Linked DNA regions of Drosophila melanogaster. The protein of the gene in region 1 interacts with the protein of each later gene in a pairwise test. Each region holds a gene or a part of one and is shown in the gene's direction. Other genes may lie near its edges. The genes, in order: Cys, CG14042 and CG11007.

The links.
Region 2: the proteins of Cys (region 1) and CG14042 interact in a two-hybrid assay, tested with the Drosophila melanogaster proteins (one large-scale study listed by BioGRID).
Region 3: the proteins of Cys (region 1) and CG11007 interact in a two-hybrid assay, tested with the Drosophila melanogaster proteins (one large-scale study listed by BioGRID).

The regions. Positions count from the first base shown.
Region 1 is NT_033777.3:14,568,473-14,571,455, reverse strand, and holds Cys (Cystatin-like), read left to right. Parts: upstream 1-1,811; 5' UTR 1,812-1,847; coding exon 1,848-2,032; exon of another isoform or gene 2,033-2,090; coding exon 2,091-2,286; 3' UTR 2,287-2,353; downstream 2,354-2,983. Other genes in the region: CG7987 (uncharacterized protein), read left to right, coding at 1-723; CG8066 (uncharacterized protein), read left to right, coding at 2,671-2,792, 2,857-2,983.
Region 2 is NT_033779.5:5,035,654-5,039,412, forward strand, and holds the start of CG14042 (uncharacterized protein), read left to right. Parts: upstream 1-2,055; 5' UTR 2,056-2,468; coding exon 2,469-3,104; 3' UTR 3,105-3,457; coding exon of another isoform or gene 3,458-3,759. Other genes in the region: Col4a1 (collagen type IV alpha 1), read left to right, coding at 1-555, 824-1,084; SP555, read left to right, coding at 3,458-3,759.
Region 3 is NT_033778.4:19,501,413-19,505,156, forward strand, and holds CG11007 (uncharacterized protein), read left to right. Parts: upstream 1-1,655; 5' UTR 1,656-1,775; coding exon 1,776-2,591; 3' UTR 2,592-3,182; downstream 3,183-3,744.

The DNA.
Region 1 (2,983 bases):
CAACAACAGCGTGTTCAACTTATGTACGATGATAACCTACTGATAGATGCTGCTCTGCTCAGGGAGAAGACTTATGAGAAGTTTAATCCGAGCATTGTTAATGATCTGGAGGAGATCCTCCGCTCTCCACTGAAGCACGAGAGAAATTCTCGTCTTCGCTTTACCAGCGAGTCATCCACCACGCCACAATATTTGCACGAAGAGGAGCAAAACCTTATAAAAATTGAACCAACTTCTCCGGATCTGCGGGAAATGTTGGAGGGTCAGCAAAGAGTCATCGCTCATAGCGGCAGCACTCCTTCGTCCTCTTCATCTGCTAGAACTTCCAGACATCTGCGACAAATCACTGCCAATGGTGCACGGGCAGGCAGCAAGAGAACAACAGGTGGCGTAGCCAGCAAGACGTCGGCATCCCCGGGAGTGGTGGCCAAAAAATCGAACACTGCCACCAAGGTGAGCAGCAGCAGCTCATCCTCGTACCTCTCGTACGGGGTGGATTCCTACAATGTAAACGTACCTGCCAGTGCCAACAACGGCGATGTGGGCAGCGGATTCTTTTCCATCTCGGAGGTCGTTTCCGCAGCTGACGCCGCGGATGCGGCTGCTAAAGCGGCGGCAGCTGGTAAATCGGAGCGGAAAACTCGCAGTTTCGAGTGCGAAATGTGCTCGGCCATCTTTTATGATCGCACCCAGCTGCTGGAACATGTGCACATTCACATTTAAATGGAAGCTACCTAAACCACTCGCCCGGAGCCTTGTATTTTTGAAACATCTTATCCTTATATACAAACAAAATCGGAGTAAATTACCTCAAGGTATCGTGCATCGAAAAATATCGTTGATTTATGCGTTATTTAAAATATGGAACCTAAACCTATTATAGAGAGAATAGTTCGTAAGGCTTTTAAGTTTGTACCTCAGCTTTTGTTTTGAAGAATTGGTATGCTGGAATAAATACATCATTAAATGGTTTTTCATTACCTTAAATTTTGCTATCACGTATAGATTGAATCTGATTGATAAGATGGGCTCATGTAACCTTTTCTGATGTTTGAAATCTCTCCTAGAAATCTTAAATTTTCTTGGAAACTGCGATAGTGGCATGTAATATACTTTTTATAATTGGTTAAATGTTTATAAACTTGCACATGTGGGTCTTAATACATATCGACTGACCTTTGTAGTACATACTCATAGAAACACTGATAAGAGCATACCGGAAGTCTGTGTGTAATTTGAAGCCATGATTATATGTTTTCATATGTGGTGTACGGTGACTTGTTTTCGGCTCATTTGCACAGATTTTCAATTAAAGCCGCAACTGCTAACTGAAGTAGAGATCAAAACGATTCTCACAGAAAAGCGGCTTTCGCCCATCTGATAAATCAATTAATTACCGCCAATGAGCCGTATTAGAATATAAGTAAACGATTTCATTTGCATATGCATATTTATTAATCATGGAAATAGATTCTTATTTAAAGGGGGCGCACCTTTGAATATTGACTATAAATATTTGAATATTGACTATAAATATTTGGATAGTAGCTGCGAAAATATCAGGACACGTAGATACCGTAGTTTATGTTCTAAAAAAAAATATTTCGAATCTTAAAACTATTTTTTCACTTATTTTGCCTTTCTAAGCAATTTTCTTAAATATTGTAAACCCCGAGTGAGGTTCTGGTTATTGATAGTTCTGATGATGGGCCAGTCAAGTCTTGGATCGATGGCATAGAGAGCCTATTGTATTTTTCCATTGTTGATCTCCCACTGAGATGGCAGGTATAAAATGGGCCACATCGCCGGGTGTTCATCAGTTCTCTCAGAGTCGTCGAGCGAGCAACATGAACGTAGTAAAATCTTTGTGTATTTTGGGTCTGGTTCTCGTCAGCTTGATTGCCACCCAAGCAGCCGATGAGCAGGTGGTAGGCGGTGTCAGCCAGTTGGAGGGAAACAGCAGGAAGGAGGCTCTGGAACTTCTGGATGCCACTCTCGCACAGTTGGCCACCGGAGATGGTCCCAGCTACAAGTGAGTTAGAACTGAGTTCCGAATTTAAAATTCATACTAATTGATCTGCTGATCTTAGGGCAATCAATGTGACCTCTGTGACGGGTCAGGTCGTAGCTGGAAGTCTTAACACCTACGAGGTGGAACTTGACAATGGATCCGACAAAAAGCAGTGCACCGTGAAGATCTGGACTCAGCCATGGCTCAAGGAGAACGGCACCAACATCAAGATCAAGTGCTCTGGTGACGATGGCGAACTGGACCGCACCTGGTAGAAGATTCTTCGTGAGAATTGCCCTGAAAGAAATAATAATAAAAAAAAAAACAAGATACACGTGATTTAAAAAATGATTTTTGATTAATTTTCGGGGAACTATTGTTGCAAAGTATCCAATATATTGTTGGGAAAAATAATAGGAGTGTATAAATACTTGATTTGCTTTGTTTACGTTCCGTGCTAACCAATTCCCATCGCTAGGCAATTACACACATACTATACATATACATATATAAGATACTATATATTTATTGAGATAACAACCATAGAAGCTTTCACTCCAACAAAAGCTCCAGAAGCTGACTCACAATCGGAACGGAACAGAGTGATATCATTTCATGTTTTGGTTTTGGTTTTGTTGAGTTTTGCTACTATCGCCGCCATGTCCAACGTTCCAATTGTAGGCGGGATCAGTCAGCTGGAGGGGAATGAGAGGAAGGAGGCTCTGGAACTCCTCGATGCCACCCTCGCACAGTTGGCCAACGGAGATGGACCCAGCTACAAGTGAGTTAAGGCTAAACTCGGTCTAGAGCTTGCCACTTATTAATTGATTTTACTCCAATTGAAGGGCACTTAATGTAACCTCTGTGACGGGTCAGGTCGTAGCTGGAAGACTCAACACCTACGAGGTGCAGCTGGACAATGGATCCGAGATAAAACAGGGCACTGTGCAGATCTGGAGTCGCGCATGGCTA
Region 2 (3,759 bases), on another chromosome or scaffold:
ACTGGTAACGTGGGACGACCCGGACCCAAGGGAGATCGCGGAGAGCCAGGCGAGAGGGGATATGAGGGCGCCATTGGTTTGATCGGCCAGAAGGGTGAGCCCGGTGCTCCAGCCCCCGCTGCTCTGGACTATCTCACCGGTATCCTGATTACGCGACACAGTCAATCGGAAACGGTGCCCGCTTGCTCGGCTGGACACACGGAACTGTGGACGGGTTACTCCCTGTTGTACGTCGATGGCAATGACTATGCCCACAACCAGGACCTTGGATCCCCCGGATCCTGTGTGCCACGCTTCTCAACGCTGCCCGTACTGTCGTGTGGTCAGAATAACGTCTGCAACTACGCCTCCAGAAATGACAAGACCTTCTGGCTGACAACCAACGCCGCCATTCCGATGATGCCCGTTGAAAACATCGAGATCCGCCAGTACATCTCACGTTGCGTCGTTTGTGAGGCGCCGGCTAATGTGATCGCCGTGCACAGTCAAACGATAGAGGTGCCCGACTGTCCGAATGGCTGGGAGGGTCTCTGGATTGGCTACAGTTTCCTCATGGTGAGTATCGGAACACTTATAACGTTAGATTATAGAAGAATGATGAGAGTTTTCAAAATCCACAAGGGATGCGTTTCCGAAGTTTCCCTAGCTTTCCAGCAGATGGCGCACGTTCCAACGACACTCTTGCGCCATCTGTTGGATACTGCGTAGCGAAAGATTTGATACAATAGTTTTAATTTTCAACCTTTATTCCTAACTACTTGTGGGATTTTAAATAGTTCTTTTATAATGATGCTAATATTAACCCAACCATTTCCTATAATAGCACACTGCCGTGGGCAACGGTGGCGGTGGACAGGCGCTGCAATCGCCTGGCTCCTGTTTGGAGGACTTCCGTGCAACGCCCTTCATCGAGTGCAACGGCGCCAAGGGCACGTGCCACTTCTATGAGACGATGACAAGCTTCTGGATGTACAACCTGGAGTCCTCACAGCCGTTCGAGAGGCCACAGCAGCAGACGATCAAGGCCGGCGAGCGGCAGTCGCATGTGTCCAGGTGCCAGGTGTGCATGAAGAACTCCTCGTAGGACCTCCAATCCCAACACAGACACACCCACAGCACAGAGCATAAGTTTAATCTAAATGTAAAGCCTTAAAATTACCAACGAATCGTGTGCACACCCACACGATCACAACACAAACACAAACAAACAAACCAACACACACACACACATACATACACCGACGAACCAACACTGCTACAAATTCCTTAATCTAACCAAAAAGAAAAAAAAACGGATCCACAAGTCGAAGTGCTAATTACCGACCGACCTGGACCACAATGCCATTTTTTATCTGCCAATTAATGTTCTAAACAAATGTAAACTGCTTCTAAGTTACGTTACGTATGTTAAGTAAATGAAACAAATAAATAAACTAGCCTCGGTCGTATGTCCAAAAGTATAAAATAAACTATGTGCCAGCATGTTCCATTTATTTTTGAAACCGATTAAATGCGAAACAATGCAACAAAACGCGGTATCGAACGAATATCGAACGAATCGAATCCTCAACTGCTATACAAAACTTGTCGCATATCGTTTTAAAATAAACTAAAATTTATAAATACAAATTACGACCACAATTTCATACAAGCCTATTTAGAGCAAATATTGTTGAGGATAAAAAATCGTATGCCCTTCAGTGATAAACTTCCTGCAAGACAAATACTGCATACTTTTTACCCCTAACATTGAGTGATAAGATCTTCCTCAAAAGACCAGGGCTAAGGGTAGGCTATTGTGGTGGAAACCCCGTCGCGGAGAACCCTTAAAAAAGCAATGCCAAGCCAAGGATGAGAGCGAACTCACCTCGTGCACTTGTGCGCATGCCATTGCCTCTCTTTGTGCGGATTTGCGGTGGGGGAGGGGGTTGGTTAGCTGTCAAGGGGGTGGCGATGACGATTGGGGTCGCCGTGGACGGTTTGCGGGGCATAAAGTGGGGTGGACCGAGCCATATGATAATGATATGCAGACACACACACGCGCACAAAGTCCAATTGGTGGTTGGAAGCAGGTCGTGGAAAATAAGGGTAGGCCTTTGTGGGGCGATTCAAGTTGGAATCGTAAAAGTGAGTTGGAAAAAAAGTGCCAGAAGCCAGTGTGACTTGGACGCAAGCGGAGGCGGTCGTCGGTGGGAGTTGTAACTTCAGCCAGATAAGAGGAGCTGCTTTTTGTAGGTGTGGAGGAGCAGCAAGACGGAAAAAATGTGTGTACCTCGAAAAAAAAAACAGTGAAAATTGCGAGCTCTCGTTTGGAAAGCAGCGTGAAATTTGCATAAACTAACAAGACCACAAAGCCAACGGGAAGTGCACCACCAAAATCAGAGACTCCCAAGAAGCAGCAGTCTTCCGCCCCACCAAAAAAAAAAAAAAAAAAAAGGAAGAGGACACACCACCACCCCTACATATTTATGATTATCGTCCTGCTGCTGCTGTTCCAATCGCTGTGCCTCTACTGCCAACGCCTGGTGCTCTACGTCCACGACCGATGCTTCCCGAGGAACGTGCGCCTGCTGCAGGAGGTGGCCGAAACGGTGGGCGATCGTAAGGCGCCACAGCGCCTGGCGGAGCAGCAGCTGGAGCAACAGAAGCGCAGCCAGAAGCGTCGCATCCTCGAACCAATCCTTCCGCTCGTTGGTGGCCTCAATTCCGAGGCCTGTCGATTTTGTGCTCACAGTCCGCAGGGCTACTGTCGCCATCACTTCCATCTGCAGGAGCTGCAGCTGCACAGGCAGAGGGGTTCCGGTGGTGAGCAGGATTTCCGGCAGATTCGCCGAATCAAGCGGGAGCTAAAGCGGACTCTTGGCCAGCAGCAGCAGCAACTGCAACCGACGAGAAGCTATCGTCCAGTCCGACTGAGTGCCAGCTGGAGCAGCAGTTCCCTGAGCAGTGGTTACGCTTCACTGACCAGCGTTGGATCGCAGGAGCAGGAGGAGGCGTCCTTCGATCAGGATATTATTGAGGACGTTCCACTGGAGGAGGAAGCGGAGCTGCAGGACCTGCCGCAGGAGGATATCCAACAGCCCCTACTAACCACTTACTTGTAGATAAACGCCTCTTGGTCTCATCCTTGCATAAAGAATCATCCACTTGGAGTTCGTCTGGAGAACTGAAGAACCCTTCATAAAAACTATGCTATAAAGATGTATTGAAAAAAATTGTATAACATAGTTAACCACCAGAGAAACGAAAGAACAAACAACTACGAGCTAAAGACGCCACCCCTGAAGCCGCTCCTTGAACGATTTCAACAACTTTTGAGACCTGGAGAAGCTCATCAACCCCAGGAAGCCAACCCTATTGAAAACTTAACCCCCCCCCCCCCTCCCAACAGTTCGAAGGGTTCCCTTTGTCAAATTGATACAAATTGAGAAGCGAAAAAATTTCTAGTCGCAACACAATGTCTGATGTTGAAGTGGATCCACAGCAGGCTCACCCCCATCCCATAGCGGCAATTGCCCCGAGGAGACGTCGTCCAACCGGTCGACGAGGAGGAGTAACAGGAGGGTTGTCGTCCGGTTCACTGGATGCATCATCTTCCACATCGCCGCCACCCCGTTTCTGTCCGCTGCCCAATGGCGTTGAGGATAACTGGACGTGGAGCAAGCGGCACCGCTCCAAGGAAGTGGTGCTCAGAGGACCCAACTCGCGGACCGTGCACTTCCATCCCAACTGGAGCAAGGGCACTGCCGGTGTCCAGGG
Region 3 (3,744 bases), on another chromosome or scaffold:
CAGGAGATCAGGCTGCCTTGATAGCGCGATTATAAAGCCGGCAAGTGATCGCCATTTTGTGCCACTTATCAGTTGCAGTTGTCATTGTTTTGGTTTTGCCTTTTTTTTTGTCATTTCCACACACAAGCCTATTTGTTTCCAAGCTCTACGGGAAGTTTCGATGGGGCTGGGAAGTAGATTTGTGTACTTGATATGGCTATCAGAGCCCTGGATCTATAGACCAGTTTTGCTTTTTAGCCGCAGCCAAGATGAAGGGCTCTCGTTCCCATCACGAGTGTCCCTGTACTCAAATGGCTGACAATCTTACGAGACTTTATTCCAAACCAGATTAATCCGGCTGCCAACACACTATAGCATGCTGGCAAAGGCATTTGTGATTATAATATTATTAAAAACTGACCTAAGTGCACGTTGTTTACTGAAATTTTCACTTCATTTTTGTTTTGGCGCAGACAAGGTGCAAAAGCATCAACACCTTAGATTTGACTTTGATTAGTCATGATCTCGGATTTTCGAAATATTTTCTGTATTGATTCCCTATTTCATTTCTATCAAGTTGTACAAAACAGTGCACTTGAAAAAATCTTATTTTGTTTTAAGTTAATTGTTTTTAATATATTATTACCAAAGACACTAGAATTCTTATTCTATTGTCTTATTCTAGTGTCTTTGTTAATACTTTTTTTACTATAAAGTGAATGATTGGTTGAATTTAAATATAAAGCCACGAGAAAGTTGTTTGATTCGATAAGGAGGTTACTAATAACACAGTTGAAAATATTCTATAAATAGAAGCAAGCTCACTTTATTTGCCAGTGTATTGAACATAAAATAATCGCTGTATAAACAAAGAACGGCCTACTAGTGAAACCAGTAAAGAGGTGGGTGATCGATCCGATGGGGATCATGGAGATGACCCTCGTAAATTGGTCTCAATAATACGATTAAAAATAAATCGTTTAGTCCAGTGACGCGCACAGTGTTTACTACAAAAAAATTAATCTTTGCACAACGCGGAGAGTCAGCCACGATGGCGATAATACTGGTGATGCTCTATGAAGTGGGTACAAAATTCTCACAGTATTCACACAGTTCCAAACACATTTAATTTAGGAACTACAAAAAAAAAGGCCAAAATAATATTTGGGTGATAAGGCGACTGATGGAAGCCACGAGCGTCTGAGATCACGTAGAGAGCCAAGCTTTTTCGCAGATTTGAACTCGGCGTGTGTGCCGATAATGAAGATCCTCGATGCCTTTTTTTTACCTTTTTTTTGCAGTGGCCTTTGTGTGCTAGGTCAACAATCTCTCAATGACTTTAGCAAAATGCTGATGTAACAATAACTCGCTTATCAGTTTCGGTTGGTTTTCGGGCAAACAAATATGGTTGTCCCAAGTTCTGTTTATGGTTTTAACTTTTGATTAATTATCATTTAAAAAAAATGCTAAATACTAAATACTAAATACTTGTAAGATAATAATGCATATAAGTAAATAAAACGTATCAAAGAACGTTTAAGAAAGGCAAACTGTTAATTGATGATTTTGAATTTGAAAAGGCGCCAACGAACTAATACCATTTCCAGCACTGACAAGAGTGCCACTGTTCTTTTATCAGGTGGCAACGCCCGTGCCAGACAACTAGGCTGCTAATTTCTAGTCAACGGCGAGGCTAAAATTAACAATTGGCTGTCAAAAGCAAGAAAAGAAAAACTCGGGAAATTGTTAATTAAAATCGTGACCCAGATCAGCGCATTCAGCCCCCGGACGCAGAGATGACGTGGAAGAAGCAGATGGCTCTGCTGGCCAAGCCATACTACTGGGTTAACATACTCCTGGCCATATCGTACCTTTTGGCCAAAAAGACGCAGTTCATCTGCACCCGCCTATTTATTCTCGCCGGAGAGGATGAAGCATGCGACCTGGACAGTCGTGAGGTGGAAATCTTGTTCTTCCTGCTAATCGTGGTGATGATACGGTCACGCAAAACGGGCAGTGTCACCATGATTAACTACTTGGCCTCGTCGTTCCTCTACACCAAAGTGGCCAACGCCATTTTGTGGGCCTACGCGGACTTCCGCTACGGCCTGGGCTTTCTGCTTCTATGCGTCCTGGTGGGCATGGTGCTGCCGGAGCCCTCGTATCGCGGACCCGAGCACATCACCTACTTCCGCAACGCACAGGTCTTCGAGGAGGAATTGGCCAGGGACAAGCGAACCAGCTGGCTGATCTGCTTCTACACGGTGTGGAATCCCAGCTGCGTGAACTTCGCCCCCGTTTTTGCTGAGCTCTCCGCCGAGTACAACACGGACCACCTGAAGTTCGGCAAGATTGACATTGGACGCTTTCCGGACGTGGCCCAAAAGTATCGCATCTCGGACAGCAGCTTCTCCCGACAGCTACCAACTGTGATCCTGTTCCAACAGGGCAAGGAGACGGACCGCAGGCCCTGCGTCGATTCCAAGGGTAAACTGCAAAAGTTCTTCTTCTCCAGCGACAATGTGCGCGCCACCTTTGGCCTTAACCAGCTGTACAAGGAGGCCATCGAACGACTACCCATTGCGCCCAAGGAGGCCAAGAAGGTCCAGTAGGCTGTCCTGTCCACCACTGGTGCCATCTCATTTCTGCGTGCACGTGCTAATAACTGTTATTCGTTTAGTTCATAGTTTATTTTAACTTATTGAGGAGCTGCCACCGCCAAAGACACGTACAATTGCACTAATATTTGCATTCTAAACTCAGACGTGCTCTCGTCGCGATGCCATTGTAGAAAATATTTGTATGATCTTGCATTTGCATAAATTGTAGCTAATCACCAGGTACCAAATATATTTAAAAATGTGAAATGAGTCAACGAAAATACGCAGTTCTTTTTTAATTCCCAGCCGAGTCTAACATTTCATTCAATTAGCACAGCTCAAACGATCATTTCCGGTGCTCGTTTAAGAACAAGTAAATATTAAGATGGACTGGACAAGCGTAAATTGAAAGAATGTAATAAAGAACTTACGCTGTATACAAATAGCTAGTAAAATAGTGAAAATATAGAGAATGAATATATAGTTTCAGAAAGGTGCCCATACTGGTTTTCGGTACAAATGTATATAAAGTGTTTGTGACAACCCACAATTTTATGACATATTTATTGTATTTTATACGTTCTGACTTGCCGCTTAAAACAGAAACCTTCGTCGTATCCCCCCGGTTTATGAAATATAAAACCAAATGGGCCCGTTGTTGCTGCCAATGTGTTGAGCAAAATTGTATGGCAATGCAAATGGCACAACAAAAATGTTTCCGGCGTGTTGCGTTCTGTTCCGAAATGGCCCCGCAGACATCGGCCATATAGACAGATCGTATATGGATATATATATATATATATACATAAGAACCCAACAGGCCAGACGCAGAACGAAATAAACGCAAATCCCTTTTATCCATTCAATATGAACACACATACGTATAGAGAAACGGACGAATTTAAATGCATAAATACAGGCGACTGCACACCAATCACCACCCACCGCACACCGCCCACAACCACCCCCCACAGATGTGAGCAAGGCCTTTGTGGTTAATATTTGTATTTTTCTTTACTTTCATTGAAACGGCATGAAAATGGCCATTGCATTTTACGTGAATTGTATATGGTAAATAATGCGATTGTCTCACACGGCCGTTTTATTTGCGGAAAATTTAAATTCGCCATGGCAATTGGGACAAGATTCACACCGTCCTGAAGTA